Linked DNA regions of Anolis sagrei. The protein of the gene in region 2 interacts with the protein of the main gene of each other region in a pairwise test. Links are inferred from orthologs where the notes say so. Each region holds a gene or a part of one and is shown on either strand. Other genes may lie near its edges.

Region 1 (16,307 bases), on a different chromosome or scaffold from region 2:
TAAAAAATAACTACACATAAAAATAAAACCAGTTTCCTGATCAATATGTGTTTATTTAAAGTGGTAGTTGCAACAAAATACACTTAGGGAACTAACATTTCTCAGTGAAAGTCCAGCTTTAAGGGCCATGGGCCCTCCATTTCCTGTGCAGGATAACAAACCCAAGTAATAGCCTACAAGTGAAAGGAGGAAGCAAAGGCAAGACTCTCTGTGGCATTAAATAGCCAGGACATATTAAAAATCACATACTCATTTCAATAATAATAATAATAATCATCATCATCATCATCATCATCATCTTTATTTATACCCTGCCACCATCTCCCCGATGGGGACTCAGAGCGGCGTACATGAGGCCAAGCCCAAATGACAATTACAATAAAGAAAAACCAAAAACACAAACCGAAAACGCAAACAATCTATATAAATAAAAATGTAATGTTTGTTTGTGGAATTAACAGAACTCAAAAACCACTGGACAAAATGAGACCAAATTTGGACACAAGACACCTAACAACCCAATGCATGTCCTTCACTCAAAAAAATTAATTTTGTCATTTGGGAGTTGTAGTTGCTGGGATTTATAGTTCACCTACAATCAAAGAGCATTCTGAACCCCACCAACCATGGTATGGAACCAAACTTGGCACACAGTTCTCCCATGAACAACAGAAAATACTGGAAGGGTTTGGTGGGCAGTGCCCTTTGGTTTTGGAGTTGTAGTTCACCTATATCCCGAGATCACTGTGGACGCAAACAATGATGAATCTGGATCAAACACTACACGAATACTCAATATGCCCAAATGTGAACACTGGTGGAGTTTGGGGAAAATAGAATCTTGACATTTGGGAGTTGTAGTTGCTGGGATTTATAGTTCACCTACAATCACATAACATTCTGAACCCCACCAATGATAGAATTGGGCCAAACCTCCCACACAGGACCTCCATGTGGGCCACAGCAACGCGTGGCAGGGGACGGCTAGTAAACAATAACATCATAGTTACAAAGGAATTAGCAGAAGAAACAAAAGGCAGGGATGGGCAGACTCCAAGTTTGTGAGATATCCTAATTCAGTAAAATTCTTCACCAAAACAAAAGGATAATAAAGATGTATTGTCGAAGGCTTTCATGGCTGGAATCACTAGGTTCTTGTAGGTTTTTTCAGGCTATATGGCCATGTTTTAGAGGCATTTCTCCTTGGAGGAGAGAAATGCCTCTAGAACATGGCCATATAGCCCGAAAAAACTACAAGAACCTAATAAAGATGCAATATGATTTTATTTTTTTTATTTTTTTCGTGCCAGGAGCAACCTGAGAAACTACAAGTCGCTTTTGGTGTGAGATAATTGGCCATCTGCAAGGACGTTCCTCGGGGGACGCCTGGATGTTTGCTGTTTTACCATCCTTGTAGGGGTCTTCTCTCATGCCCCCACACGGGGAGCTGGAGCTGACAGAGGGAGCTCAACCTGCTCTCCTTGGATTTGAACCACGGTCAGCAGTTCTGCCTTTAAAATGATTAACTGCTGTAGTGAAAAAAGTCAAGAGAAGACGGAATCCCATTTAAGATCACGTCTTTACCTGTTTCCTGTTCTTAAAATGTTACAATAGCCTACAAAAACCTTTTTTTTTTCTATTCCACACAGACTTATGCCCCACTAGTACTTGCTGGCCTCTTTTTAAAATTATGTATATGTGTGTGCACACATGCAGGGGAACAATTCGTCCTAGCACTGGAAATATTCCTGCCCTGCTTTTTTAAAAAATCTGCACACTGTTCTTAAATGGCATAATATATGCTCAGGCTTCAAAATTTGGATTTCAGGGCAAGAAGAATTTATTTTGGTGCCGAATTCATAGAACTCTGTTATGTAAGAGCTGCTACTGTGCCCTATGCAATTAAAATCATTCGCTTCGATGTCAATCTGCTTAGCAACATCTTCACATAACAAAAACCAAAATAAATCTGAAGGTCTGTTAAACCAAGGAGGGGCAGAAGCAATTTTACTCCCAGCAAAAAGAAGTAGATTTCCACCTACAGCAGGCAGAGCTGATTGACTCAGTTGGGAAAATGGGAAAAAAATGTTTATACTGTATGTTATACAGAGAAATGCTCTCTTGCATTTCCCAATAATTTGCATATTGCATACTACCATTCTCTAGGAGCCTCTACTATACATTTCAAACCACCTAAAAAACAGCGAAGCCATGTTGAGCTGCCTATTAAGAAAATAACTTCTGTTTGAGTAAAGCCAAAATGATGTAATAATTACCATATATACTCGAGTATAAGCCGACCTGAACATAAGCCGAGGCACCTAATTTTAGGAGGACGAAAAGGCGAGGAAGGTCCACGGTGCTTGAATGAAGGACCTTCCTTCTCTACCTACCCTTCTTCCCTCCCTTTCCTTTCTTTCCTTTTCTTCTTTCCTTCTCCTTCCTTTCCTTCTTTCCCTCCTTCCCTTCCTTCCTGTCCCTCCTCCCTTTTTTCCTTTCCTTCTTTTCCTTCCTCCCTCCCTCCCTTTCCACCTTCTTTCCCTTTCTTCATTTCCTTCCCCTTCATTTCCTTCCTGCCCTCCTTTCTTTCCCTCCTTCCTTCCTCCCTCCTTCCTTCCTCCTTCCTTCCTTCTCCTTCTTTCCTTCTCCTTCCTCCCTCCCTCCCTTCCTGTCCCTCCTTCTTTCTTTTCCTTCCTTCCCTTCTTTCCCTCCCTCCCTTCCTTTTTCCTCCCTTCCTTCCTGTCCCTCCTTCCTTCCTGTCTTTCTATGTAAGATATAAATACAATATTAAATGCAAGGGACAGTCAAGAAGTAACGAGAGTAGGAGGGAAAGAAGGAAGGAAGGAGGGAGAGAAGGAGGGAGGGAAAGAAGGAAAGAAAGAAAGATAGATAGATAGAGAAGCAAGGAAAAAGAGAAGGAAATAAAAAGTGAAAGGAAAAAGAGAGAGAAGGAAGGAGAGAAGGAATGAAAGATAGGGAGGGAGGGAGGGAAGGAAGGAAGGAAGGATGGATGTAACCAAAGAGCAAAGAAAGGGAGAAAAGAAACAGGTAGAGATGGAAGAAAGATGAGAGATAGGGAAAGAAAAAGAGGAAAGGGAGGAAAGAGGGAAGGGAGGAGAGAAAGAGGGAGGGAAGGTTGGCCACAGCAACGCGTGGTGGGTACAGCTAGTATTTACATAAAACTGTAATGGAAGACTGTCCAGCTCGGATGAAACCATTATTCTAGCCTCCTTCAATGTACATGTGCTTACGTATCTTTCCAATAATAATAAAGAGAGCAAAATAATAAATTTAATAACAATAATAGAGTAAAATAATAAATGTAATCAGAGTAAAATAATAAATGTAATGAAAATAATAGGGTAAAATAATGTAAATGTAATAATATCAACAATAATAGAGTAAATAATAAATGTAATAAAAATAATAATAGAGTAAATAATAAATGTAATAAAATAATAATAGAGTAATAACATAAATATAATAAAAATACTAATAACAGAGTAAAATAATAAATAACCTTGGCTCAAGTATAAGCTGAGGGGAGCTTTTTCAGTCTAAAAAAAAGAGCTGAAAAACTAGACTTATACTCGAGTATATACAGTAGATTGTTTGCCTAAGACTTGGGGGACCTGAGCTCAATTGTCCTCTCACCTATGAAACTATCTTAGTTGACTTGTGCCAGTCACCAATTCTCATCCTGGCTTATTTATTTATTCAGAAAGGACCAAAGCAGTGACATCTCCAGCTCATCCCCTGTTTGCGTATCAGCCAGCACATCAACGACTTAAATCAAGAAATAGTTTTCTAAGTTCTACAGAGACACTCACTGGAACACCTCAGCAAGCGAGAGTCCAAAAATGGCAGGCTCAAACCCAGAACCTCAATCAATGGCTGATACCAAATGAGAGACTCCCCCCTGAGCACAGAGAAAACTGGGCGACTTGGTAGGCGCTGAACAGACTGCGCTCTAGCACCACGAGATGCAGAGCTGACCTTAAGAAATGGGGCTACAAAGTGGAATCCACCACATGCGAGTGTGGAGAAGAGCAAACCACAGACCACCTGCTGCAATGCAACCTGAGTTCTGCCACATGCACAATGGAGGACCTTCTTATAGACCAGAGGCACTCCAAGTGGCCAGCTACTGGTCAAAGGGCATTTAATCAACTACCAAGCTTGCAAACTTTCTTTGTTTGTTTGTTTAAAAATGCAGTACAATTGTTTGGCTTGTTCCTTACATGATAAATGAATAAATAAATATTCATTTATTTTATTTCGTACCAAAAGCACTGCATAAATTAGTATAAAACTGATAAAATAGGAGCGCAGGCGGCTAAGTATCTTTTGACCAAAAACAGGCAACAGCAATGGCATTGTCTGTAGCCTCCGACAATTCTTCCTCTGTACATGAGGCAGGGCATAGTGGACAAGCATACAGGTGCGGACTTATGCAACAGTATTATTATGACAATACAATGAGAAGTGATGAGAAGAATATTTGGTACCTCATCCTAAGTCGTTGACATGCTGGCTAAGTGTGTTTAAGGCAATATGGTCCTTGTGTTTAAGGCAATGTGGTCCTTGAATCTCTAAACAGATAAAAAGATGCTATGTACCTGGAAGGAAAGCCTATACATTCCAAAGGGATTTACTTCTAATAAAAATGATAAGATTAAACTGACCCAGTATTATCCCATGATTGACATCAGGTCAAATTATATCATCTTCAAATACTGACTGCTCACCAGTTGATGTTGTTTGGCTAGTCTCCACAATTATGAGAGTCCCAAACTTTTGTAAACAAAATGAGAATGGGACTTTTAAAGATACCAGATTTTATAGCAGGCAGCAGACTGTGTCTTTTACTGTATAGCTGGGATAATCAAGTGCCTTTCAGACCACAGTCTTTTGCACACTTTACATGGCAGACTAAGCCCCAGTACAGGCATGGGCAAACTTTGGCCCTCCGGGTGTTTTTGACTCCAACTCCCACAATTCTTAACAACCAATAGTCCAAAATACCTGCAGGGCTAAAGTTTGCCCATGCCTATCCTAGTGACATACTTCTGAGTAAATGTACATAGATATAGACTGTAGGAGTCTTTCTTAGGTCTGGCTGAAGATTCACATATATTAATTTCATGAAATGCTTGAGAAGCTAACTCAGTTGAGGCTCACTTTCTCTTTCGATGAGAAGAGTTTCAAAGTACTTGGCTGCAAAGCTTGGTATATCTTCAGGTTGGCTCCTCAAGACTTCCCTGGCCAGGCCTTCGAGCAGATTCGCAAACCCTGGAGGAATGCGTTGCGTGGTATTGGAGAATGGAATCGCCATTGCCGCTCAGGAGGTTTCCGTCTCACCTGCACTTCATTTATAAGACCAATGGAAGAGACATAATTTGAAAATTGGGAGTATTAGTTATTTATTTACCACTTTATCTCTTTATTTATTTATTTTCCGCCATTATCAAGACATAGAATCTTGATATAATATATGTGCTTGGGTAACTGTACCCCTGGAGCCAAGACTAGGCTGTGACTACTGACCTTAACTGAAAACTGACTGAAAGCCAAAACCAAGGTTACAACAACATCTGTTATAGAACTCCAGTATGCTGATGACAATGTCGTCTGTGTGCATTCAGAAGAAGATCTACAAGCCACTCTAAACACCTTCACAGAAGCCTACACAAAGCTTGGCCTGTCACTGAACATCGAGAAAACCAAAGTGCTGTTCCAGCAGTCACCAGCCAACCCCTCCCCAATGCCAGAGATACAACTTAATGGTGTAACATTAGAAAATGTTGACCATTTCTGCCACCTTGGCAGCCACCTCTCCACCAAAGTCAACATCGACACCGAAATACAACACCGCCTGAGCTCTGCGAGTGCAGCATTTTCCCGAATGAAGCAGAGAGTGTTTGAGGACCGGGACATCCGTAGGGATACCAAGGTGCTTGTCTATAAAGCTATTGTACTCCCAACCCTGCTCTATGCCTGCGAAACGTGGACTGTCTACAGACGTCACATACAACTCCTGGAACGATTCCATCAGCAATGCCTCCGGAAAATCCTGCAAATATCTTGGGAAGACAAGCGGACAAACGTCAGCGTGCTGGAAGAAGCAAAGACCACCAGCATTGAAGCGATGGTCCTCCGCCATCAACTCCACTGGACCGGCCACGTTGTCTGGATGCCTGACCACTGTCTCCCAAAGCAGTTGCTCTACTCTGAACTTAGGAACGGAAAACTGAATGTTGGTGGGCAGGAAAAGAGATTTAAAGATGGTCTCAAAGCCAACTTTAAAATCTCTGGCATAGACACTGAGAACTGGGAAGCCCTGGCCCTTGAGCACTCCAGCTGGAGGTCAGCTGTGACCAGCAGTGCTACAGAATTCGAGGAGGCACGAGTGGAGGATGAAAGAGAGAAATGTGCCAGGAGGAAGGCGCGTCAAGCCAACTCTGACCAGGACCGCCTTCCACCTGGAAACCGATGCCCTCACTGTGGGAGAAGATGCGGAACAAGAATAGGGCTCCACAGCCACCTACGAATCCACAAGGAATCCCATCATGGAAGACCATCTTACTCGTCCAACGAGGGATCGCCTAAGTAAGTAAGTAAGTAAGTAAGTAATATTACATGTAATATAAATATATTATATTATTATTATTAGTATTATTTTGCTAATATAAATAAATATAAATATTATATATAATATAAATAAAATATAATATAATATAAATCCCACAATATCTGCTTTGAACTGGGTTATCTGAGTCCACACTGCCATATAACCCAGTTCAAAGCAGACAATGTGGGATTGTATATAGCTGTGTGGAAGGGGCCTTGGATCTGTTATGGCTCAGTGCTGAGAGGGGACTAGCTTCAGTTTAGCAAGGCCTTCTCTGCAAAGTGGCACCAAACTGCGTTAATTCCACGGTGTGGACGCGCCCATGCCCGACCAGAGCGCAGGCCAGGCTTGAGCTCTTCCAGTGGGAAAGGGATGCTGAACCAACCCTTGGTTTCCCAACCCGGCCCGCCGGCGACAAGCATCACCCCGGCCTCGCTTTACCTCTTCAGCGTGGAATGGAAGGGACGGGGAGGGAGCCCGGCCTTTGTTGTCGGTTGTCTAGGCAACGCCGACGGCGACGGGAAAGGGACAAAACTCTTCGTTCCCAATTAAAGCCTTTCCCCTCGCCAACCTATTGGCCGAAGCCCCCGCCATTCAATGACGCCCGCCCAATCAGGAAGCCGCTTAGCTTTTTGTCCCCGCCCGCCTTGAATCCTTGGCCTTCGGGGACTCTGAGGGTGGGAGGGAGGAAAAGACGACGTCATAGAAGGCCAGCAGTGACGTCAGACCCGGCGTATGACGTCATCGCTGGCTTTTTATGGCGTTGCACAGTGCTAAGCACAAACTGACAGACTAAGCCAGTCCAGTGGGGCGCATCTATGATAATATTGTGTGGCAGAGGCTCCTTCTTTGGAAGCTTTTAAACAGAGGCTGGATGGCCATCTGTCAGGGGTGCTTTGAATTCAATATTCTTGCTTCTTGGCAGAATGGGGTTGGACTGGATGGCCCATGAGGTCTCTTCCAACTCTTTGATTCTATAATTATCTATGATGATATTATTAGTATTATATTGCTAATATAAATAAATATAAATATATTAAATATATATAAATATAAATAAAATAAATATAATATAATATAAATACCACAATATCTGCTTTGAACCGGATATAATGATCTATGATGATATTAATCTATAATGGAATGTGTCCAGATGAGGGTAAAATGCTCAAGGGTCTGGAGAACAAGCCCCATGAGGAGCAGCTTAAAGAACTGGGCATGTTTAGCCTAAAGAAGAGAAGGCTGAGAAGAGACATGAGGGACATGTATAAATATGTGAGGGGAAGTTATAGGGAGGAAGGAGCAAGCTTGTTTTCTGCCAACCTCGAGACAGGATGCGGAACAATGGCTTCAAACAACAAGAAAGGAGATTCCATCTGAACTTCCTGACTGTGAGAGCCGTTCAGCAGTGGAACTCTCTGCCCCAGAGTGTGGTGGGCGCTAGTTCTTTGTAGGCTTTTAAACAGAGACTGGATGGTCATCTGTCGGGGGTGCTTTGAATGCAATATTCCTGCTTCTTGGCAGAATGGGGTTGGATTGGATGGCCCATGAGGTCTCTTCCAACTCTAGGATTCTATAATTATCTATGGTGATATTAATCTATAATATTATATATGCTTCAGGTTCAGGTAGTGGTTCTCAACCTGTGGGTTCCCAGGTGTTTTAGCTTACAACTCCCAGAAATCCCAGCCAATTTACCAGCCCTTAGGATTTTTGGGAGTTGAAGGCCAAAACATATTGTTTTAATTGTTATTATATTGCTGTGTTATATGTAGTGGCATCGAATTGCTGCCAAAATGTAAGCCATCCTGAGTCCCCCTTTGGGGGTCGAGAAGGAACAGGATAGAAATATTGGAAATAAATAATCTATATAAATAAAAATGTAACGTTCGTTTGTGGGATTAACATAACTAAAAAAATACTGGACGAATTGACACGAAATTTGGACACAAGACACCTAACAGACCAACGAGTGTCCATCCCCCCTAAATACACACACACAAAAACTCCAGCGGGACAGACTTAAAAACCCAAAAAATACACCATATATACATATACACATACACTCATATACATATACACATGCACACATTCATACACACACGTATATATATATGCACAAACACAAATATACACATATACACATATACACACATACATATAATAATAATAATAATAATAATAATAATAATAATAATAAAATAATAATAATAATAATAATTAATTAATACCCCGCTCCATCTCCCCCAAGGGAGATTTGCATGAGGCCACGTCCATCACTACAATACACAACAAAATAACACAAGAACATAATAAAACCAAAAAATAAAATACACGAAATGCAAAACAATGTAATAAGCAACACAACAATATAAAATCAGACATTAAAACGCAGAAGATTTCGCTGGGCACACATACATATATACATATACACATGCACATACATATACACATGCACATACATATACACATGTGTGCACACATATACACACAAATATATGCATACATATATCATACACATGCACATACATATACACATGAATACACATGCCTACACAAAAATATACACAATATGCATGTCCACTAAAATTCACACACATATATATAAAATTCACATACATATATATACACACATATAACCCCACATATATACATAGAAACACACATATATACACAAATACACACACATAAACACATATATCTTTTTTTAATAATCATCTTTATTGAAAAACAGATTTTTTTCCATTTTGTGCAGAGAAAAAATAGTGCAAAGAATAGTGCAAAAACAAATAAGAAAAGAAAAAATAGGGAAAAGGCAAATAGGCAGATACAAGAAGAAAAGCAAAAAAGAAAAAAATAGAGCTAAAAATAGGAGCAGATTGTTATGGCTCCTTTGTTGACTTCCTGAGTATCTTTCTGGTGGTTTTTCCTCTTCTTTCTTTCTTCTCATTCTTCAGTCTTGTTTTCTCTTCCCTTCATGTTATTGTGTATCCATTTCTCTGTTTTAGGTAGTTTGTTACCTTTGTCCAGTCGGTCTCTTTTATTGGGGTCCCTTTATTTTTTGTTATTAAATATGTTAACCTGTCCATGTTTTTGATATCTATCACTTTTTCTATCCAGTCGCTAATTTCTGGTATGTCTTCTTTTTTCCATAGTTTCGCATAACAAATTCTCGTTGCTGTATTTAACAGAAAGAGGATTTTATCTGTATTCTTCTCTATTTCTTGGTCTGTTATTCCTAATAGGAATATTTCTGGTTCAAATGGAATTCTTATATTTAGTAGGCTTGGGCAATCCATGGTTCTAAATGGTTCTAAAGTACTTACAAAACTAAAGTTCTGGTGGTGAAAATTTCAGAACTCTAACAAAACTTTCAAAATTTAATTATTATTTCATTATTGGTGATTTTAATAACAGAACCAATTAGGAACTGCCATTCATTATGAAATTTTGAGAGTTTTGTTAGAGTTCTGAAATTTTCGCCACCAGAACTTTAGTTTTGTAAGTACTTTAGAACCATTTAGAACCATGGATTGCCCAAGCCTAATATTTAGTATTTCCTGTAGTGTCTTCTGTGTTTTTCTGTAATATATCTTGGCCTTGGTACACGACCACCACATATGGAAACACATATATCCACGCACAAAACACATATACACAGATTGGGCCACAGCAACGTGTGGCAAGGGACGGCTAGTAAATAAATAAATAGACTCCAGTTCAAAGTAGATAATCACTATGTAACAAAAATTGATCCCCCCCCCACCCTATTCCAGATTTGAAAGTGTTATTTCTTGTTTCATTGTGCAGTATTTACTCTGAAAGTATTTGTTATGCTCCAGACACTTTGTTTTTGCGCCTGCCACAAACTAACTTAAATTGGGTGAGACAATTGGACTTCATCACTAGAGCATGGATCCAGTTGTGGCCTCTTGCAGAATTCTGGGGCTTGTAGTTTAGTGAGGTGCCTTTAAACTGCCCTAAACTACAAACCCCAGAATTCTGCAGGAGGCAGAAACTGGATTCAAAGAGGATCCATGCTCTGGAGCAGGCAAGAGTAAACTTGGGGGCTCTAGATGTTTTGGATTCCAACTCCCATCATTCCTAACAGTCTCAGGCCCCTTCCTTTTCCCCCTCAGCCGCTTAAGCGGCTGAGGAATGTTAGGAATGATGGGAGTTGGAATCCAAAACACCTGGAGGGAGGGCTGCAGTTTGCCCATACCTGCTGTAGGCAGTGATTGCCAGTCTCTCGCCCTGGACTTCATTTCCCAGAAGCCTCCGCTGCTGTGGCCAATGAAAAGGGCTCCTGGGAGCTGAAGTCCAAAGAGCAGACCTTGCCCGGAGCGTGCCCTTCTGCCTGCTTCCTTCCCTCCGGGCTTGCTCTGGCCCAGTGTGAGGTCACACAAGGCGACTCCTCCCTCCCAGCCGCGCGTCAGCCCTCGGAGGAGCGCCCCAGGCTCTTGGAAGCAAGCGTTGGCTGGCTCGAGAGGTCCATGGCGTCCCCGCGGCTCTTCCTCGCCCCCGTTCTGCTCTTCGCTTGGAGCGCAGGTAAGGCCAGAGCGACTGCGCATGTGCGGCCGGCGCCCCCATAGAGCCCAATGCTAGGAAGGTTGGACTCCATCTCCCAGAATCCCCGGTAGCTCACCAAACCGGCTGGGGCTTCTGGGAGTTGAAGTCTTCAAAATCTAGAAGACCAAGCTTTGGGTGCCACTGATTGAGTGAATGCCATTGGAGACCATTGGAAGCTGCCATGGCTCCAGGCAGAGGTGGCCCTAGGTAATTTTCAATGGTAAGCGAACAGTATTTTGGCGCACCCCCCCCCCCCCCCAACCAATCATTGATATATATATTCTGTTCGTTGTGGGAGTTCTGTGTGCCATATTTGGTTCAATTCCTTCATTGGTGGAGTTCAGAATGCTCTTTGATTTTAGGTGAACTATACATCCCAGTAACTACACTTGCCGCACTTGCTCCCTTGCCTGGCCTGCTTTGGGTCCGGAGGCGTGCCTGAAGACCCCGGCGTGTGCACCAAAAGTCACCTCTTCTCCTGACTTTCTCCTCAGCCATTGGGACCGAGAGAGAGAGAGAGAGGTGGAGATGCCCACCTTTCCTGAAGGTAGGCGCAAAAACAAAGGAGGGAGCGGAGGTGGGAGATACCTCCAGCCGGAGGAGCTCTCTCTCTCTCTCTCTCTCTCTCTTGGTCCCAATGGCTGAAGAGAAAATCAGGAGAAGAGGCAACTTTTGGTGCGCACATTGGGGTCTTCAGACACGCCTCCGGACCCAAAGCGGGCCAGGCGCGGCGGCTCCGCTTCTTGGCCCACCCACGGATTGGGGAGAGGAGAGGAGGTGGGTGGAGCGCTGGGGGATCAGGAAAGGGAGCCGGTCATGGGGAAGGGATCGAACGTGGAGAACAATTGAGCACCGGCTCTGCTCGCGCACCCAGTGGCCGGGTGGAGCAGGAACGAGAGGGGCTAGGCGAGGCTCAAGGGCCCGGCCTCTTTGGGAAGAGGATCGCCCGGCAGTGAGGCAAGAAAGCCAAGGCTCCCCCCGGACTGCTAGGGCTGTTGTGAGCTGAGGGGGCGCTCCTCAAGTGGCGGTCGAGGGGCATTTACAGAGGCACCTCTGCACCCCTGGCAAAAAAAAGTGTTCTGCGACCGCTTACTTCGCGTAATGGATGAGCCACCTCTGGCTCCAGGCAATGAAATCCTTAAAGCTGTCATTTTTGCAAGGTGTTGGCTAGTGCCTCACCAAACTACAACTCCCAGGATTTCATAACCTTGAGCCATGGCTGTTAAAATGCTGCCAGGCTGCATTATTTTATGTAAGAGGCAAGGTGCAATGCTCACATTGACCCCTGGAGAAATCGACCCAGATTTTTGAGTTGACTCAAATGTCTCTAGACTTATACATGAGCATATAGGACAATGTGTCTGATGATATTTTGCATTATACAGGCCGTCCCCAAGATATGAACAAGATCAGTTCTGTAGGTTTTTCCAGCTGAATTTGTATGTAATTTGGAGCAGGTACATTTTAAGTGTAATACTAGCCATCTTCTATCTATATATAAATGCTCTATGCATAATGAGTACCTTAAAAACAAAAGAATCGATGAACGAAATCACACCAAATTTGGCAACAAAACATCTCACTACACAAGGGTGACCATCACTCAAAAATTATGATTTTGTCATTTGGGAGTTGTAGTTTCTGGGATTTATTGTTCATCTACAATCAAAGAGCATTCTGAACTCCTCCAACGATGGAATTGGACCAAACTTGGCACACAGGACTCCCACAACCAACAGAAAATACTAGAAGGGTTTGGTAGGCATTGACCTTGGGTTTTGGAGTTGTAGTTCACCTACATCCAGAGAGCACTGTGGACTCAAACAATGATGGATCTGGACCAAACTTGGCACGAATATTCCATATGCCCAAATATAAACACAGATGGAGTTTGGGGAAAATAGACCTTGACATTTGGGAGTTGTAGTTACTGGGATTTATAGTTCACCTATAATCAAAGAGCATTTGAACCCCACAAACGACAGAATTGGGGCAAACTTCCCACATAGAACCCCCACGACCAACAGAAAATACTTAAGGCTATTCAGTCCAACTCCCTTCACCAGGGCAAGAAAATGTAATCAAAGCCCCTCCTGACAAAGAGCCATCCAGCTATATAGATATAAATAGATATATATGATCCACACACACACAGATATAGTATCATAGACTTGAAAGGGACCCTTAAAGAAGGATAATGATATGTTGCATGTTCCAGGGTGGGCAAACCAGACACTCTCCACATCAACACTGACAAAGAAAGAACAAGAAATACTGTTTACCCACAAGCATCAAGAAATTACGCATATTAGAAACCAACACTTTCTCATTAATTTTCCAGATCACCAGACTGGGCCACAGCAACGCATGGCAGGGGATGGCTAGTCTATCTATATTATTATAAAATATAATTATAATGTATTGTCGAAGACTTTCATGGCTGGAATCACTGGGTTGTTGCAGGTTTTTTCCAGCTATATGGCCATGTTCTAGAGACATTCTCTCCTGACGTTTCGCCTGCAGCTATGGCAAGCATCCTCAGAGGCAGTGAGGTCTGTTGGAACTAGGAAAATGGGTTTATATATCTGTGGAATGACCAGGGTGGGACAAAGAACTCTTATCTGTTGGAGCTAGGCGTGAATGTTTCAACTGACCACCTTGATTAGCATTTGATGGCCTGGCAGTGCCTGGGGCAATCTTTTGTTGTGAGGTGATTAGATTCTTTCCTCTCTACTGTTTTGCTGTTGTATTTTTTTTAATACTGGTAGCCAGATCCACCCAGAGGAAAAGTGTTCTTGCCATACATCAAGGGAACCACTGACCGCATGGGGAAACTGATGAGGAAACACAACATACAAACTATCTACAGACCCACCAAGAAAATCCAACAAATGCTACGTTCAGCAAAGGACAAGAGGGATCCTCTCACCTCTGCAAGAGTCTACCGTGTACCAAGCAGCTGTGGACAAGTCTACATAGGGACCACCAAACGCAGCATTGCCCAAACACGAATCAAGGAACATGAAAAGCACTGCAGACTACTTCAACCAGAGAAATCAGCCATAGCAGAGCACCTGATGAACCAACCTGGACACAGCATATTATTTGAGAACACAGAAATGCTGGACCACTCTCACAACCACCATGTCAGACTACACAGAGAAGTCATTGAAATCCACAAGCATGTGGACAATTTCAACAGAAAGGAGGAAACCATGAAAATGAACAACATTTGGATACCAGTATTAAAAAAAACTCTAAAATTACAACAGCAAAACAACAGAGAGTAAACGATCTGGGACATCTAATCACCTCTCAAGAAAAGATTGCCTCAGGCACTGCCAGGCCATCAAATGCTAATCAAGGTGGTCAGTTGAAACATTCACACCTAGGGAACGGTTAACACCCTGTGAGGAACGGTTAACACCCTGTGAGGTTTCCTTTGCTGTCTGTGCCCCTGTTCAGAAGATTTCACCTCACTTTCTGTCCCTGTGAAAATTGGATTTTGAAGAAATGTGACTTAATAGGGACTTTTGTACCTTTTCATGCCTTCCAGGTACCCAGCTTCGCTTTGCAAACTATTATGGGGATCACATGGTGCTGCAGAAGGAACCCAGCTGTGCAATCGTCTGGGGCTATGGGACTCCCGGGGCCGACATTACCGTGACTGTTTCCCAGGAGCAGAACTTTACGATGAAAGAAATTGCAGAAGTGCGCGGTAATCAAAGAAAAGATATGACTCTGTTTTCCACCCTTTCAATTGCACATTTCTCTAAAGCAGGCATGGGCAAACTTCGGCCCTCCCGGTGTTTTGGACTTCAACTCCCACAATTCCTAACAGCCTACCGGCTGTTAGGAATTGTGGGAGTTGAAGTCCAAAACACCGGGAGGGCCGAAGTTTGCCCATGCCTGCTTTAGAGACTGATAACATTATTAGTTCAGTAACTCTTGTTCCAGAATCTCTGATCACTAGCCATTGTTTAGTTCTTGGAGCCAAGGTCCAAAACAATCAAGGACCAAAGTTAAGACCAATTGCTTAATTATCAACCAGCAGAGTGCAAAGAACTAAGAAAAAAAGGAAGCATAATAGTAATAAGTAACAAATATTACTACTACTATGTAACATGATTTTTGTTCCTGGATTATGAATGTTATTTCCTAATTGGTTCCATCATAAAAACATGGGAAAAGTTTATTAAACTGCAAAAAAACTTTGTTTTTCTCAGATATAGTGCATAATGGTTTGCTCTAGTTTTTTATGACTATCTCATCGGATCTCAACCAATTCAACGTAAGTTTGAGGCAGCCACAGAAACAAAAAGTTACTGTTCCTGGTTTGAAATAACACTTTCAGACCAGGAACAGATATTTTTCAAATTTTTGTTACATAGTGTAATAGTTATTATTTTGTTACCTGCCTCTCCTCACAACTCAATTTTTTTTCATGTCAGGAATGGCTTGAGAAACTGCAAGTTGCTTCTGGTGTGAGAGAATTGGCCGTCTGCAAGGATGTTGCCCAGGGGACACCTAGATGTTTTACCATCCTGTGGGAGGCTTTTCTCATTTATTTATTTATTTATTTATTTATTTATTTATTTCGGTTTCTTCTACCCCGCCCTTCTCACCCCGAAGGGGACTCGGGGCGGCTTACAAAGGCACAATTCGATGCCAGCATCACATAACAGTAGTAAAACAAAATAATATCAATTAAACAGTTAAACAGTTGAACAGTTAAACAACAATTCCTGCATTACAACCCTAAAACCAATAAAACCAATAAAACAATACAGTCCCAATTACTCCTCATAGACGGTCAGCTTTCGCAATCTCATAGTCCAAATTCCAATTCCACATTGTCAGTCCTGTCAGTCCTAGTCGTTTGATTGTCCTTATCTAGTTGTCAGATCGCCCAAAGGCCTGATCCCACAACCACGTCTTTACTTTCCTCCTGAAGGAGAGGAGGGATGTTGATGCCCTAATTTCTCCCAGGAGTGAGTTCCACAGGTGAGGGCCACCACCGAGAAGGCCCTGCTCCTCGTCCCCACCAACTTCACTTGTGATAGCGGTGGGGTCGAGAGCAGGGCCTCCCCAGATGATCTCAGACTCC
Region 2 (16,274 bases):
GTCTAGCTGCAACTAGAAATTAGATTAAGGCCCAAGAGCCAGGATTACTGTATTATATTTCCTATTTATACAGTATGAAAACACTTTGACGGTAGGTTTGTATGTTTTCCAGAAGACTTGGCATCACATGCTCTTCTTGCACTTTGAGGGGAAATTTAATAAGTGTAGTGTCTACTCTACACAGAACAATCCTGCAGTGGCTGTGTACATCAAATGCACTTAGCTAGAGCCCAACACATCATACCACTGAGTTCAATCAAGCTTTCTTCTCAGAAATCCAACCGTGTCTACCTGGTAACATAATGTAATTCACTCAGCAGAGTGAATTTTTTCCTGCAGGCACTAATGATTGCTCAGGAGATTTGAGGAACATCTAATGCTGATATTGGAAGCAGGTAGGAGGCTAAAAGGTGAGAGAAGAAAATGGAAAAAGCCCACTGAACCTAGTGTATAGATTTGTTCAGCAATATACAACTTCTTTTCTGAACTCTTTGCACTGTCAATGCAATGACCAGAAACAATGCCATTTTTGGTATATTTGAATCTACCAGTATGAAGTACTTCATTATTCAAACGAACAACTGCAGATTGACCCCATATTTGTTCAGTACCCATAAGTACTGAAGAAATGCTAGATGTTCAAGAGGAATATGAGTAGCTCAAGATCATATTGGAAACATGCATTGGTTAATAGAATGCATTAAAGAATTTCTGAAGAAAATCAGCCAGCCTTTATAGATTATGGTTAAGAAAACAGACACGAAGAAATGTGATGTTGGGAAGACAATTGTACAGATACCATGGAATGCAAAAAATCAAACAAAAACAGGCAAATCAAGACTGAGCTTTCACTGGAAGCCAAAATGACTTAATTGAAGCCATATGAAGAATTATTACTTATGGGAAAGGACAATAGTGCTTGGTAAAGTTGCAGGCACTAGGAAAAAAAGGAAAGCAATGGATTGATTCAATCCATCAACGAAATCATAGTTCTTAACTACAAGTCCTGAGCATAGCTATTAATAAGAGGATCTGGAATCCTGTTAGGTATTTATGTCATTGTAACCTGTGATCATGTGAAGTCAATTTGTGACACTGAGCAATGTTCATATAGTGAGCAGAGAGCTGGATTTAAGATCATGAAGTTCATTGGGTAGCACTGGATAGGTCACTTTCAGATAAGTCATTCTCAAATAGATATCTTTTATAACTGTTGAAAGGGTGCAGTGTAAGAAAATAATAACAATATTATCTCTCCCACACACACACACATGGCAATTTTATGCCAACCAAAGAGAGGACAAGAATCACAAATGTAATAACATTGTGTGTGAAAGTGAATCATCAATAATTACATGAACATTCAAAAGAGAATTAGTAGACAGTTAACATAATAGATTGTAATGGAACATCCTCATTCTTTTATGCTAATTATATGTAGCAAATGAATTTCCAGAGTCCTCTTTCCTCCTGCTGCCTTGTGAAAGGGTACTGCATTATAAGTATTATCACAAGAACCATACCCACAAGTTGAGTAAGTTTACTCAGGGTGCATCTACATTGTAGAGTTAATGCAGTTTGACACCACTGTAACTGTCATGGTTCAGTGCTGTGGACTCGTGGGAGCTCCACTTTTACAGGTCTTAAGCCTTCTCTTCCAAATAGCACTGCTGCTTTACCAAATTACAACTCCCAAGGTTCCAGAGCATTGAGCCATGGCCATTAAAGTGGTGTCAAATTGCATTGATTTTACAGACTACCTGTTGATTTACTTCCATTTAATATTGCTATTACAGTTCATATTTCTAGTGTCAAGCTCTAGATCTAAAATCAATTCAGCCTGTTTTGTTTAAAACTAGGAGATCTTGACCAGGTCAGCTTTTGAATGGTCGAGTCATGAACAATCCTATGTAAGCCATTTTGAGTTCCATTAAAAGTCTGACAGGTGCATTTAGAGAGGAAGGATGACAACCCATGCTCTTTTATCTAACCCAACAACATGGGGCTACCTTTATAAACTCTTTCCAAGGTCCAAAATGCTGCAGTCAAAGTCTTGACCATGGCTGGATAGCAGAAGTCGTGCCTCAATCAAAAAAGAGTGGGTATATCTTGCAATGCCCTTTACAGTTGGGTTTAAGTTAACTGGTGACTGCAACTCCCTAAATGCACCTGTCAAACCTTTAAGTCTTTTCCTTAGTCCTGGGATACCCATAGGGTTTTCTTAATGATACTCCGAGTTCGAATGAATGGTTTATTGTGCTAGCCATAGGCCATGACATAAAAGTACAATAAGCACTTTCCAATATAAATATTAAAACTTTACTGGCCCTTTAAAATGATAAATGATAACAATTACAAATGTCTGGTTTGTATTATTCCAAGAGGAAGCAGATACATAAATGGCAACTGGATGGCCACCCAACAGAACAATGTCACAGCTTTAAATACCTGGGCATCTACTTCTCATATAATGGTAACTGGAAGAGTCATATAGAGGCAGTCAAACTATCTGCCTGGAGGTCAGAAAAATCAATTCTAACCTTTGGGAAAACAAAGGGGGGGGGGTTGCTTGGTATGTCCCACAATTAAAATATTTGCTGCTACTCCGAGTTTGTGAAATTCCCTTCCAGAGAATACCAAGCTGGCGGAGGGGGAAAATATATTCTATTATTATTATGTTTTATAATGTTTATTAATATCCCACTTTTTCTCTGCATATGGAGACTCAAAGCGGCTCATAACTAAAGCATTGCAATACAACTTAAAATATACAAATATGTCAAGATTTGTTCAGAGGAGATTTGGCATTGCATTTGTCTGAAGCTAAAAGTATGTGGCTTGTCCAAGGTCACCCAATGGGTTTCCATGACTGAACAGGAATTTAAACCCTAGTCTCCAAATTCCTAATCCAATGCCCATGATGGCGCTCTTTCATTCCAAGAGCAAAGGCAAGCTTTTGGCAATTAACTATCTGCTGAATGTTAAACTTTTAATAGGAGTACTACACTTCTCGTTTGCCGGCACGCCTTTTATTTTGAAAATGCAGTTGCTTCAATATTTTTAATGCTCATGTTTAATATTATAACATTTTCAGTTGTCTCTCTTTTTAAATCATGTTATGAGCTTCCTTGGGCTTTATGTTGTAAATTTATATTGGAGTCAGTATTCAGATAAAGGTGGGAGATAAATAAAGGAATACTGGACATTAAAAACCTTTGGGTAAAGACTGCTGTATATAATAGATCTTGTACTATAAGGAACAAATTTCTGAGAAGTGCTTCTCTTTGACACAACTGTAGGTATCGATGTACTCCGTTATTGCTTGATTCACATTCTCCATAAGGGGCATAACCGATCCAAGATTTGTTTAGGTCATTTAGTCCCAGAGGCGATTTGTACATATGAGTGCATCTACGCTGTAGCACTCTTTGGCAGGGAAAGCTAATGGCCTTGTAAAACTCCAACAACCACAAATTCCACAGAATTGAGCCATGGCAGTTAAAGTGCTGTAAAACTGCACTTATTCCACAATGGAGGAGCACCATCAGTTTTCCATGGCATCGGTCTAATGACTGCACATACTAAAGCTGATTTTACATGGATGCGACATACACCAACTTGTTTACCAGCAATGGGAAGGAAGAGAAACTCATACATGTTGAGTATCCCTTGCCCATAATTCCAAAATACTCTACAATTGCCTAGATGGGTGGCTGAGAGAGCGACATCTTTGGGTTGCTGTGAGTTTTCCGGGCTGTATGGCCATGTTCCAAAAGCATTTCTACTGACATTTCACCCACATCTATGGCAGGCATCCTCAGAGGTTGTGAGGCCTGTTGGAAACTATGCAAGTGAGATTTATATATCTGTGGAATGTCCAGGGTGGGAGAAAGAACTCCTGTCTGTTTGAGGCAGGCTTTGAAGCTGCAAGTCTATTCAATGTAGTGTTGAAGGCTTTCATGGCTGGAATCACTGAGTTGCTGTAAGTCTTTCGGGCTGTATGGCCATGTTCCAGAAGCATTCTCTCCTGACGTTTTGACTGCATCTATGGCAGGGATCCTCAGAGGTTGTGAGGCTGATCAAGTTGGCCAATACACACTTGCCTTAAGCAGGCAAGAGTTCTTTCTACCACCCTGGACCTTCCACAGATATATAAACCTTCCTTGCCTAGTTTCCAACTGACCCCACAATCTCTGAGGAAGCCTGCCATAGATGTGGGTGAAACTTCAGGAGAGAATGCCATACAGCCTGGAAAACTCACAGCAACCCAGTGATTCTAGCCATGAAAACTTTCGACAACACATTGGCATCTTTGCTTTCTAAGCTTCTATGTACACACACTTTTCATGTGACAAATTATTTGAAATATGTATTTTATACATATTTGAAATATGTATAAAATGACCTTCATATCATGTGTATAGGTTGCCTATTATTCTTCTCTAGAGCACTGGTTCTCAACCGGTTGGTCCCCAGATGTTTTGCCCTTCTACTCCCAGAAATCCTAACAGCTGGTAAACTGGCTCGGAATTCTAGGAGTAGTAGGCCAAAAACACCTGGGAACCCCAGGTTGAGAACCACTGCTCTAAAGGAAAGAGGGGTGCATCCATACTGTAGAAATAGTGCAGATTGACACCACTTTCACTGCCATGGCTCAATGCTAGGCAATCTTACCAATTGTATTTATTTATTTATTTATTTATGACATTTATATACCGCCCTTCTCACCCCAAAGGGGACTCAGAGTGGCTTACAAGATATATATACAATATATTATTAGCATAATACAATATCAGTATTATATATTACTATACTGTACTACACCATTATATTGTAATATTATTAGTAATGTTACATGTAATATAAAATATATAATTATAATATTGTATTATTATTATTAGTATTAGAATCATAGAAATCATAGAATCATTGAGTTGGAAGAGACCACAAGGGCCATCCAGTCCAACCTCCTGCCAAGAAGCAGGAAAATCAAATTCAAGGCACTCCCGACAGATGGCCATCCAGCCTCTGCTTAAAAGCTTCCAAAGAAGAAGCCTCCATCACACTCTGGGGCAGAGAGTTCCACTGCTGAATGGCTCTCACAGTCAAGAAGTTCTTCCTAATTTTCAGATGGATCTCCTCTCTTGTAGTTTGAAGCCATTGTTCCGCATCCTAGTCTCCAGGGCAGCAGAAAACAAGCTTGCTCCCTCCTCCCAATGACTTCCTCTCACACATTTATACATAGCTATCATGTATACTATTGACCATTCAAAGTACAGATTGCCTCCATAATCTAGTCTGGAGTAATCCAACTGTCAGCTGTCAGGCATGCAAAGCACATAGTTTGGTTCTAACCATGGGCTCATCTATACCGATTGCTTAATTGCAGGACCAATCCAAAGCAGAAATGCTGGACTGTCACCTAACCATCCCCCATTACTGCTGTCAGATATCTGGAGTGCTCCTAGCCATTGCAGATGTCTTCATGCAGACATCAACAAATGTGGCCATGGAGAAAGCAAGAGTGAGTGTTCCCTGATTTTTTTTATTCAACATTTACTAGAAGAGTGGGGGGACAAGGGAAACCCAGCTCTTTAAGCTGCTCCTCATAGGGCTTGTTCTCCAGACCCTTAATCATTTTAGATGCCCTCCTCTGGACACATTCCAGCTTGTCAATATCTCTCTTGAATTGTGGTGCCCAGAACTGGACACAATATTCCAAGTGTGGTGTAACCAAGACAGAACAGAGGGGTAGCGTGACTTCCCTGGATCTAGACACTATACTCCTATTTATGCAGGCCAAAATCCCATTGTTGGCTTATTTTTAACTTGTTGTCCATGAGGGCTCCAAGATCTTTTTCACACGTACTGCTCTCAAGCCAGGCACCCCCCCCCCCCCCATTCTGTATCTTTGCATTTCATTTTTTCTGCCTAAGTGGAGTATCGTGCATTTGTCACTGTTGAACTTTATTTTATTAGCTTTGGCTCATCTCTCTAATCTGTTAAAATCGTTTTGTATTCTACTGTCTTCTGGAGTATTGGCTATCCCTCCCAATTTGGTGTCGTCTGCAAATTTGATGATCATGCCTTCTAAGCCAGGGGTCCTCAAACTAAGGCCTGGGGGCCGGATATGGCCCCCCAAGGGCATTTACCCTAAGTCTGAAACAACCTGAAATCACACAACAATGGCATCTCATCAGCCAAAAGCAGGCCCACACTTCCCACTGAAATACTAATAAGTTTATATTTGTTAAAATTGTTCTTTATTTTAATTATTGTATTGTTTTAAAGTGTTTTTACACTACAAACAAGATATGTGCAGTGTGTATAGAAATCCATTCATGTTTTTTTCAAATTATAATCCGGTCCTCCAACAGTTTGAGGGACTGCGACCTGGCCCTCTGCTTGAAAAGTTTGAGGATCCCTGTTCCAAGCCTTCATCTAAGTCATTAACAAAGATGTTGAATAGGACCGGGCCCTTGTTTTATTGTAGTTTTACTGTTTGGCAGAAAAGGCGTGTAAAACTACAACTGACAGGATTCCATAGCCTCAAACCAAGGCAGTGAAAGGGGTGTCAAACTGCATCAATTCCACAGCAATTCCCAAAGGCTAGTCCTTTGGGTTGTTTTGGACTTCAACTCCCAGAATCCTCAGCTGTAGGAGTCAACGAGCAGGGACTCTGGGAGTTGAAGTCCAAAACACAAGGAAGGCCAGGCTTTGGGAAAAACTGAGCCAGATCTGGGTTTCAAGGTCCTTTCTTCCTCTCCCTCCACCGCCCTTTCTTTGGGGGACGAATAAGGGGGCTGTCCGCGTTCTCCTCTCTCTCCTCACCGGTCTGCCCGCTGGTCGCAGGCAGGACAGGCGGCTCCTCCTCTCCCGCTTCGCCCTCCATCGCCAGCCTCTGAGGTTCCGCCAATAGAAGGCAGCGTTCTCGGAACGCCCTACAGCTGGCCGTTCCTCGCCCGGCCGCCAGGGGCGCTGGTGAGCAAAGGGGGATCCGGCGACCAATAGGCGGAGCGGCGAGGCAGGAGGCGCGCAGGGTTCGGAGCAACAAACGCAGCGCCATAGCTAGGGAAGCTGCTCCTGCTACGGGGCGCCGGAAGGGCCAAGAAAGAGATTTAGAAACGCGTCCTTGTGGAATGGCCGCTGTGGGGGAACTACGGATCCCATGATGCAATGCAAGTGGTGGGGCCGTGTGCAAAACCGACTCCTTTCAAATTCCCCCGCCCTTCCTCGCAGGAATACCGAAATGCGGACCTTCTCCCCAAATAGATCAATCCTTTAAAGATGTGACATCCCCCACAGCTGTTATTTGCTCAAGAGTATTGGTTTAAATACTGTATTTTAAAAATATTTTAGATTTAATCCGTTTTGTTCTTTGTTCTTCACACCTGGAATACTGGGTCCAATTCTGGGCACCACAATTGAAAGGAGGTATTGATAAGCTGGAATGTGTCCAGAGGGCGACTAAACTGATCAAAGTCCAGAAGAACAAGCCCTATGAGGAGCGGCTTAAAGAGCTGGGCATGTTTAGCCTGAAGAGAAGACTGAGAGGAGACATGATGACCATGTGTAAATATATGACGGGAAGGCATAGAGAGAAGGGAGCAAACTTGTTTTCTGCTGCCCTGACTAGGACGCAAAACAATGGCTTCAAACTACAAGAAAGGAGATTCCATCTGAACATGAGGAAGAACTTGACTGTGAGAGCCGTTCAGTAGTGGAACTCTCTGCCCCAGAGTGTGGTGGAGGCTCCTTCTTTGGAAGCTTTTAAACAGAAGCTAGATGGCCATCTGTCAGGGGTGCTTTGAATGTAATTTTCCTGCTTGGCGGGGGTTGGACTGGATGGCCCATGAGGTCTCTTCCAACTCTTTGATTCTATGATTCTATTCTATCTGAGACTGATAAGGATAAAATCCTATTGTCTCTTCCAACTCTATGATTCTAAGATGTATATATCTTTAATCAGAACTACAAATTTAATATTGAATCACAATTTGATCTGGGGTGTTGTGGTCACAGGGTTGCAAACCCCACTTTTTGTCTTCCAGGGATAAACTACACCAGGCCTGGGCAAACTTGGACCCTCCCTCCAGGTGTTTTGGACTTCAACTCCCACAATTCCTAACAGCTTCAGGCCCTTTCTGCTTAAGGGAAAAGGATCTGAGGCTGTTAGGAATTGTGGGAATTGAAGTCCAAAACACCTGGAGGGAGGGCCCAAGTTCGCCCATGCCTGATCTACACTATAGAGTTAATACAGTTTGATACCACTTTAACTGCTATGATTCAGTGCTTTAGCATCCTGGAATTGTAGTTTCACAAGGTCTTTCGCCTTCTCCGCCAAAGGGCGTTGGTGCCTCACCAGACTACAAATCCCAGGATCCATTGCATTGAACCCTGGCAGTTAAAAGTGGTGTCAAACTGCATCAATTCTATAGTGCAGATGTGCATGTATTATTTATTATTTATTTACAGTATTTATATTCTGCCCTTCTCACCCCACAGGGGACTCAGGGCGGATCACAATGCACACATTCATGGCAAACATTCAGTGCCATAGACACGCTACATATATAGACAGAGACACAGGCTATTTAACTTTCCAGCTTCATGAGTGTATGCTTTTTGAATTCTGGCCACCGGAGGAGCTGTCGCTTCACCATCCACTTGTGACACCAATGGAGTACTTCCACATTTTTGCAAGCTGCTGGAGAGTTTTATGGCATCTTAAATTAGTTAAATTAGCCTCCCCGCATAAGCTGTACCTAGATTTCCTACTTGACAGATGCAACTGTCTTTCAGGCTGCAAAGGTCAACAGCAAGCTAGACAAATGGCCAGAAACTCACTCCAGCTAAGGCTGGCTTCGAACTCATGACCTCTCAGTCAGTAGTAATTTTAATACAGCTGACTCCCAAACAGCTGCACCCGCATTGGTTCTGGGGAGCTGGGTTGCAGCTGCTCTCTCTCTCTCTCTGAATAGTACAGCCTTTGTTGACACTGAGCCTAAGCCTAAATAGCTCACGTTGTCCAGCTTTCTGCATTTTCTGTGTGGGCAATCATTTTGCCCCCATAAAAGGGTAAAGGTTTTCCCCTGACATTAACTCAAGTTGTGTCCAACTCGGGGGGGGGGGGGGGGAGGGGTGGTGGTGCTTATCTCAATTTCTAAGCCGAAGAGCCAGCATTGTCTGTAGACGCCTCCTAGGTCATGTGGCCATGACTGCATGGAGCACTGTTATCTTCCCACAGAAGGCAAGTAGAAGTGAGTAGAAGGTATTGATCTACTCACATTTGCATGTTTTCAAACTGGCAGAAGCTGGGCCTAACAGCAGGAGCTCACCCTGCTCCCTGGATTTGAACCACCAACCTTTCAGTCAGCAAGTTCAGCAACTCAGCCATTTAACCTGCTGCACCTCATACTGCCCTCATACTACAGTATTAATAAAACTGACAATACATCTGGTAACAATATTAGAAACCTAAGTTGGAAGGGAAGGAGTTAATAAGATACTGGAAAGAGGCTGAACTGTACAGATGGAACCAATTAAGAGTTTCTGCAAAGGATGTTCTCTCCAGGGAGAGAGAAAAAAACCTTAGAGAAAGGAGGAGCTATTTTTCCAGAAGTGCAAAACTTTCAGTCACAAGGAAATGAGGTGGAAATTAGAGTGATTTAATCCGTTTTGTACACACAAAGCAGATGAAATCAGCAGTTACACAAAGATAGCCCCTAGATTGTTTTTAACATGGCCATTTTGAAGGGTTCTTTCTATTATTTTGAATTGAGAGACCTTCACAGCGTTGCAGTTACATTCCATTCCATCTTATGCATTTGTGTCGCTGTAACTCTTTAAATTGTTAAAATTAATTTAGTTTGGATTACAGTCGGACCATTGGTATCCACAGAGTTTGGTTCCAGGACCCCAAGATCTATGAATGTGTGTTCCATCACATTCAATGATGTAGTAAATGGTGTTCCTTATATACAATGGCAAAAACAAGGATTTTTTCCCCTTATTTTCTTTGAATATTTTCACGCTGTGGATATTTATTTATTGATTTAGTTACAGTATTTTTATTCCGCCCTTCTCACCCCACAGGGGACCTTGGGCGGATTACAATGCACACATACATGACAAACATTCAATGCCATTTTGACATACAACATATATAGACAGACACAGAGGCCATTTAACATTCCAGCTTTTCTGGCTTCATGAGGGTATGCTCGATTCCGGCCACAGGGGGAAGCTGTCGCTTCACCATCCACTTGTGACACCGGGTCCTTTGATGGAGTACTTCCTCATTCTCCTGCATGCTGCTGGAAGGTTTTATGGCATCGTAACTTAGTTAACTTAGCCTCCCTGCATACAACGGTACCTAAATTTACTACTTTAGGTAGTAAAACTGGCCGGCTCAGTTTTTAATAATGTCTTGTTGTACTACTATTGTTATTGTTCTTGCTTAACTGTTTTATTTGCTAGGTACTGTATTGTTATATTGTGTGGGCTTTGGCCTGTTGTAAGCCGCATAGAATCCCTTGGGAGATGCTAGCGGGGTACAAATAAAATAATAATAATAATAATAATAATAATAATAATAATAATAATAATAATACTTGACAGGTGCAATTTTCTTTTGGGCTGCATAGGTCAACAGTAAGCTAGACTATTAATGGTCGGGAGCTTACTCCGACCCGGGCTGGCTTTGAAATCATGACCTTTCTGTCAGTAGTGTTTTAATGCACCTGGCTACTAACTAGCTACGCCACAGCCTGGTACGTTGAATTCATGAATGCTGAATCTATGGATACGAAGCTTCAACAGAACGCATACTTCTTCCGTTCAACTAAATGGGCTGCAGGGTTTTTAAATATATGCTTGATTTGAGATGAGGATTATATCTTTCAGAACAAATGGAACAGGTTTGTTATCTAGCTTCAAAACAGGTGTTCTGCTACAGAATGTTGTAAGACCAGTTGGACCTTGAAGCTGTCTAGAACTTTTAAGGGCCAAAGCAGATGAAGATTAATATTTACAGTGAACATTAAAGGTTCCACTTTTTACATAATTACATATTGAAAGTAGGTCGGCTTCTATTCTGTATCATTTGGCCGGAGGAACTAAGGGTTTCCACTTTTTTTGCCCAGGTTCCAATTACGTGTTTCAATAGAAGCCTGAAGCTTCTGCCGCAATTGGCAGTCCCTCATGTGACCTAAAACTTGTTCTAGAGGGATGAAAAACCCTCTGGGGAAGATTGTTGGCACCAGATTTTTGGATATAAAACTATCCCATCAGATCATGGTTTTTGTTAAGCATCTAATGCTTGACATGGTTTCGGGTGAAACAAAAATGAAAAATCCAACAATCACATGGGTGCGAAAAAGTACTGAGTGACAGATCACTATAGTTTGTTTTGCACACTCTACAACAGAACGACGTGTCTGTCGGGTTTATATTTGTGGCACTTTGATCACTTGAAACCCAGAAATTGATTTGTCAGGTGCAGGACACAGCGTTGTTTGCCAGCCTGGTGTGAAGACAGAAAATGTACTTTGTGTGGGTAGTGCCAGCGAGCGCTCAACCTTTGTAGTACATTTTGGCACAGGTGTTGTTGGGAGCGGTAATCACAAGAGAAACTGGAATGCCTGGATTTAAGCTGGTGGAAAGGAGAAACTGGTGGAAAGGAGAAAGCCTTCTGATATTAATACAAACTGTAAACAAAGGACAAAGAAGGGCACGTCGTTCTAGAGGTGGTGGCAATCTATAGGTTAAAGAAGATATAGAATACAGGCCGGAATGACACAGATAAAGTTACAATAAGTTATACATATGTATGATGTTGCTGATGAAAGTGATAAGCAAATTTCATTTCAGTGTAAGGAGAGTTGCTAGAAATCAAGATTCATTAGAAGCTAAAGAACAAACATTAGGCTGGATGAATGTCAGATCTGCAGTTGGATAGTTATACAGAAAATACCAACATTTTGAAACTGTGAGATTACTCTCAGATAATTGGGTATAGAATAGGGCCCTAAGGCTGCCAACTAGTAATAAGCTTAATTGAGTGCAGTGAGACTGCTATCTGGATAACCATGCATGGGCCTGTTCTGTCAAAATTAACTGGCGGTTATAGAGAAATCCGATGCATGTTTTGAAAGGGAAGTCTCACTGTATTTGTACATATTGCTCCATAATAAATGTATTTAGAGATGCAGCCTCAGTATTAATTCATAAAATTTACTCTACAATGAAATGTTTCAGTGCAGACTACAAGCTCTGCTCTGGTGGTTGCAGAATAATCAGTGATATATGTGCTTGGCCTTGCACTTGCATTATGTATGGTATGTGCGTTGATTTCTGGGACAAAATACTTTTTTATTATGGGATCTATTTTTCACAATTTTTAGTGGCCCATGACGAGGCAGTATGAAGGGAGTTGCTGGGTAAGCTGGGTGAAAGGTAGTCAATTACAGCTTTGGGAATGCTCTGAAGGTAAGCTGTAGGTGAAAAGAATGTAAGAAGAACATAGCAGTCTCTGAAAAGCAGACAAGGTGTGAGAGCAGACAGAGTCAAGATGACAATTTCAGCAAGATAAAGCAGTTAGGAAGGAGAACTGGCTCTGGTATTGAAGGGACCATGTAAGAGAATAATTCTCAAGAGTTAATCTGTTATGTTACTGATTTTAATACATATTAGTTGTTAGTTTTTTCTTTAAAACCTTTATCTGGATGTCTCTACCAAGACTAAGGAATGAGACCACACCTACCATAAAGAATCCACATAACAAAATGGATCTCACCCTTGAATTAGGCCTTAGGTCAGGATCCCGCTTGGTATGTATACAATAATAAACACATCCCCTAAGTAAGTATAAGATGAAGCTTTAGCTGAAGCACTATTAAAATTGGGATTTTTAAGAAGATATAACAAACAGGTAAAATTGTACTGGTTGTATGCCTTCAAGTCACTATGGTGACCCTCAGGCAAACTGAACATGTGGTTTTGTTACAAGATCTGTTCACAAGGGACGTGCTATTGTCTTTTCAGAGGCTAAGAGAATGTGACTTGCTCAAGATCACCAACTGGGTTTCTGTGATACATATGGTGGTCTCCTAAATCATTACCCCATGTTCACTTTCTTGAGGACAAGCTAGCAAAAGTATTCATTGAGATCTTTTCCATTCCATAGTATGTGGAATGTGGATGCACTGTTTGATTGTTTTCTCTTCTACTACAGATAGTTCCTTTGCTCCTATGGGTCAATTTCACATCCTACAGAGTGGAAAGACAATGAAGTCTATTGTCTTATTTTTCAGAGCAAATCATCTTATCTTTGTTTGGAAAGAAGGTGTGGTGATGCATTAAATTATATTGGAGAGGCGCATGACTTTTCAGATATGTAATCGCCTCTGAGCTGGAGCTTTTGTGTTTGCTTAAGACGCTTGATCGTTTTCACAGTGCTCTGTGAAAGATCCAAGACACAAAGTATACTGCCAGACCAGGCCTTAGTGGGTTCCAAGCAGTATTTGCTAGCAGAGGCATGGCAAGGTTTATTATGCCTCCAAGCACAGTGTGCATAACTTATACTTTTCTAAACGCAGGCTTTGACATAGTTCCAGAATGCCACATTGCGTTGCTCTATGAAGGCAGCATGAAACAGGAAACTAGTTAAAAGGGGATGTCTGCAGCACTTTTGCCAAAGAAAACCTATCTCTAAGTAAAAGGATGCAAGTTGGAGAGAAACATTGTCGGAAGCTGTTCACCAAAGAGGATGTCATGGAATGTCTCAAGGGGCGGGGGATACGTTTCAATGCATGGGGTGGGAGGTGGGGTGGGGAGAGAGCCTCATACTCCCAGCAGCATATATAACAAGTCTGTGGGATTTGGAGCCAGAATGAAAAGCCATTTGGATGGAACTGGTCCAATATCTTGACTATGTTGAAAGTAATCTTCAGATTCAAATGGTTGTACTGAGAAAACATGTTGAGCAAGTCGTTAAAAAAGAATATCAACAACAAACAGACAATGTCAGCTTAATGTGAACACTGTGCAGTCATTTCCTTTCTGACCAAGAGACTAGATTTTGCATTTTTGTGCATGGAGGCTCGATTCACCCCCTCAACAACAAAAATCAACACGACTTTATTGACTTCATTGGGAGGGGTTTTTTCCAAGTGAAGAATGCAGAATCGGATCCAAGCGTTATGCTGTTCCAGATGGAAGAAATGGCTATTTACAGATCGTGTAAAACCATTGTTTCAAGACTAAACCACTGGATTCAAACCTCTTAAAGTAGCTGCCGTAACTTCAATTTTGGTAAAATCCTGTGCTCTCAGCATTCCCGTTTTGGTTTGCTTTTGCATTTCTCTGTCTTTTCTCTGTCACCATGTCATTTCTGACTTTTCTTCCACTTCATGCCTCTTCACTTTTGCTTCTTTCTGTTCAAAATGCCAAACTGTGAATAACTATTGTATTATTCTTCCCATATTAACCCATTCTTTGAATGGAGATACTTTTGTAAAGAAAAAGGCATCTCTGACACCCAAGGGTGAGTTGTCTGCAGGCCTGGGGAACCCCAAGGTTTGCAGATGTACAAACATTCTAGGGAGAAAAGGGAGAGTTCAGGGAACATTGAGCGTATTCAATAGCTATATTGACTGAAAACAAATGCGATGAAATTGATTATTTTAGAAAAGGATACAGGAGCACTCCACACTGCAACTTTTTTTTTAAATTTCTATCTCTTTCCTCCCTTGACCTATTGTACACAATGTTACGTGCTTCTTTGTACATGAAGTACACAATAGCCGAGCTGATCAAGACCTGCTTCCTGCATGACTATGACAGCCACCTTGGCTATTGTTATTAGATTTGTCCTGCCACATTTATGGCATTGACTTCGGTGGATTTGATAATTCACGTATTTGATTGAAAGGTTATGATCTAGAGTCACAAGCTTACATTTTGTCTCATATGTTAAGAGAGCCTGGCAAGATCTTAATACAGGAAGGGACCAGTTCCCTACTTGGCCATGTTGAGGACCAAGAACAAAAAGCAATAAATGAGAGGCAAAACAATTTTAATTATTAGCATCATAATCTCTCAAGAAGCTAAGTATTGCTCTTGTGGAGTTTGTATTTTGTTATGTATTGCTGCAAGGGCTTGAATAGGTCTCTTAGATTTGAAGATACAATTTTTTTTCTTCCATAGGGGAAACTTTGACAAGGGGGAGCTAATGAACTAGGATTCTTTGAGGTTTTAACATCCAACAAATGTAAGCCTTTCATCTGGACATTAACTGACACATTTCACCTACGCAACACCTGTTTTTCCAGATGTAATAAGGACTTCTTGAGAAATTCAATGCTCTCTGCCTAGGGGGAGTTAGCCCCAGGAGTGAGACAACCTGGATCTCAAGGAAATTCTTTTTTGTTGTTGTTGTTGCTGCTAATGAGCTGAAATTCTACTGGATGTTGCATGCCTTTGAGTCATTTCCGACTTATGGCAACCTTATGGTGAGCATCACATGGTTTTCTAGGGCTGAGAATGTACGACTTGCCCATGGTCATGCTGCGGCTTTCTGTGGCCGAGGGAGGAATTGAACCATGGTCTCCAGAGCCATAGTCCAATGCTCACTGTACCACACTTCCATCTCCACCTATCTTTTAAAGCTCTTTTCCCAATGTACCTTCATGGCCAAGAGGGGGAGTGCCTCTCCCTGCATTGAAATCCCTCCAGACCACCTTCAGCTTGCATTATGTATTTTCTGCATTTTGAGGGGCCAATAAAGGTGTCAATTTTTTGTGGATTGTGATTTGGACTGTGGTAGAGGTGAGCAACTTCTAGATGACAAGGAGCTTCATTTCTACACACACACACACACACACAGAGAGAGAGAGAGAGAGAGAGAGAGAGAGAGAGATCTTGGAGGGCTGCACCTGCCCATCTCAAACCATTGATATACTGAAAAAATGTTCCAAAAGGGTCATTTCATGTATTTGGGACTTTGGTCTGTTTAAGACTACATAATCACTTTTGGGTTTTGAAATATGTCCCCAGCCACCTAAAACAGATATGACTCACTACTGAAACTACAGGAAAATGGCCAGTCCAGTTCCCTAAATGGAACTGGTATAGATAGCTTTAGGGCTACCTAGAAAATTTCCAAACAGGGCATACAGTTGACTCTGTCTCTGCATCTTTTTTAAATCTTAGGATTAGCCAAAGTAGTAAATATTTACAACTGACATCCTTTGCGCTTTTGCAGAAGAATCCTG

What was found.
Region 1: the proteins of AKAP7 (region 2) and SPA17 interact in a two-hybrid assay, tested with the Homo sapiens proteins (3 studies listed by BioGRID and IntAct). The two-hybrid records come from large-scale screens. The link is inferred for Anolis sagrei from reciprocal best matches to the Homo sapiens genes AKAP7 and SPA17.

Annotation. Positions count from the first base shown.
Region 1 is NC_090027.1:18,391,708-18,408,014, forward strand, and holds the start of SPA17 (sperm surface protein Sp17), read right to left. Parts: upstream 7,200-16,307; 5' UTR 7,073-7,199; intron 5,367-7,072; exon of another isoform or gene 5,362-5,366; 5' UTR 5,336-5,361; coding exon 5,182-5,335; intron 1-5,181. Other genes in the region: SIAE (sialate O-acetylesterase), read left to right, coding at 11,125-11,179, 14,757-14,918. UniProt on the Homo sapiens protein: Sperm surface zona pellucida binding protein. Helps to bind spermatozoa to the zona pellucida with high affinity. Might function in binding zona pellucida and carbohydrates.
Region 2 is NC_090021.1:82,609,951-82,626,224, forward strand, and holds the start of AKAP7 (A-kinase anchoring protein 7), read right to left. Parts: upstream 7,129-16,274; 5' UTR 7,067-7,128; coding exon 6,832-7,066; intron 1-6,831. UniProt on the Homo sapiens protein: Probably targets cAMP-dependent protein kinase (PKA) to the cellular membrane or cytoskeletal structures.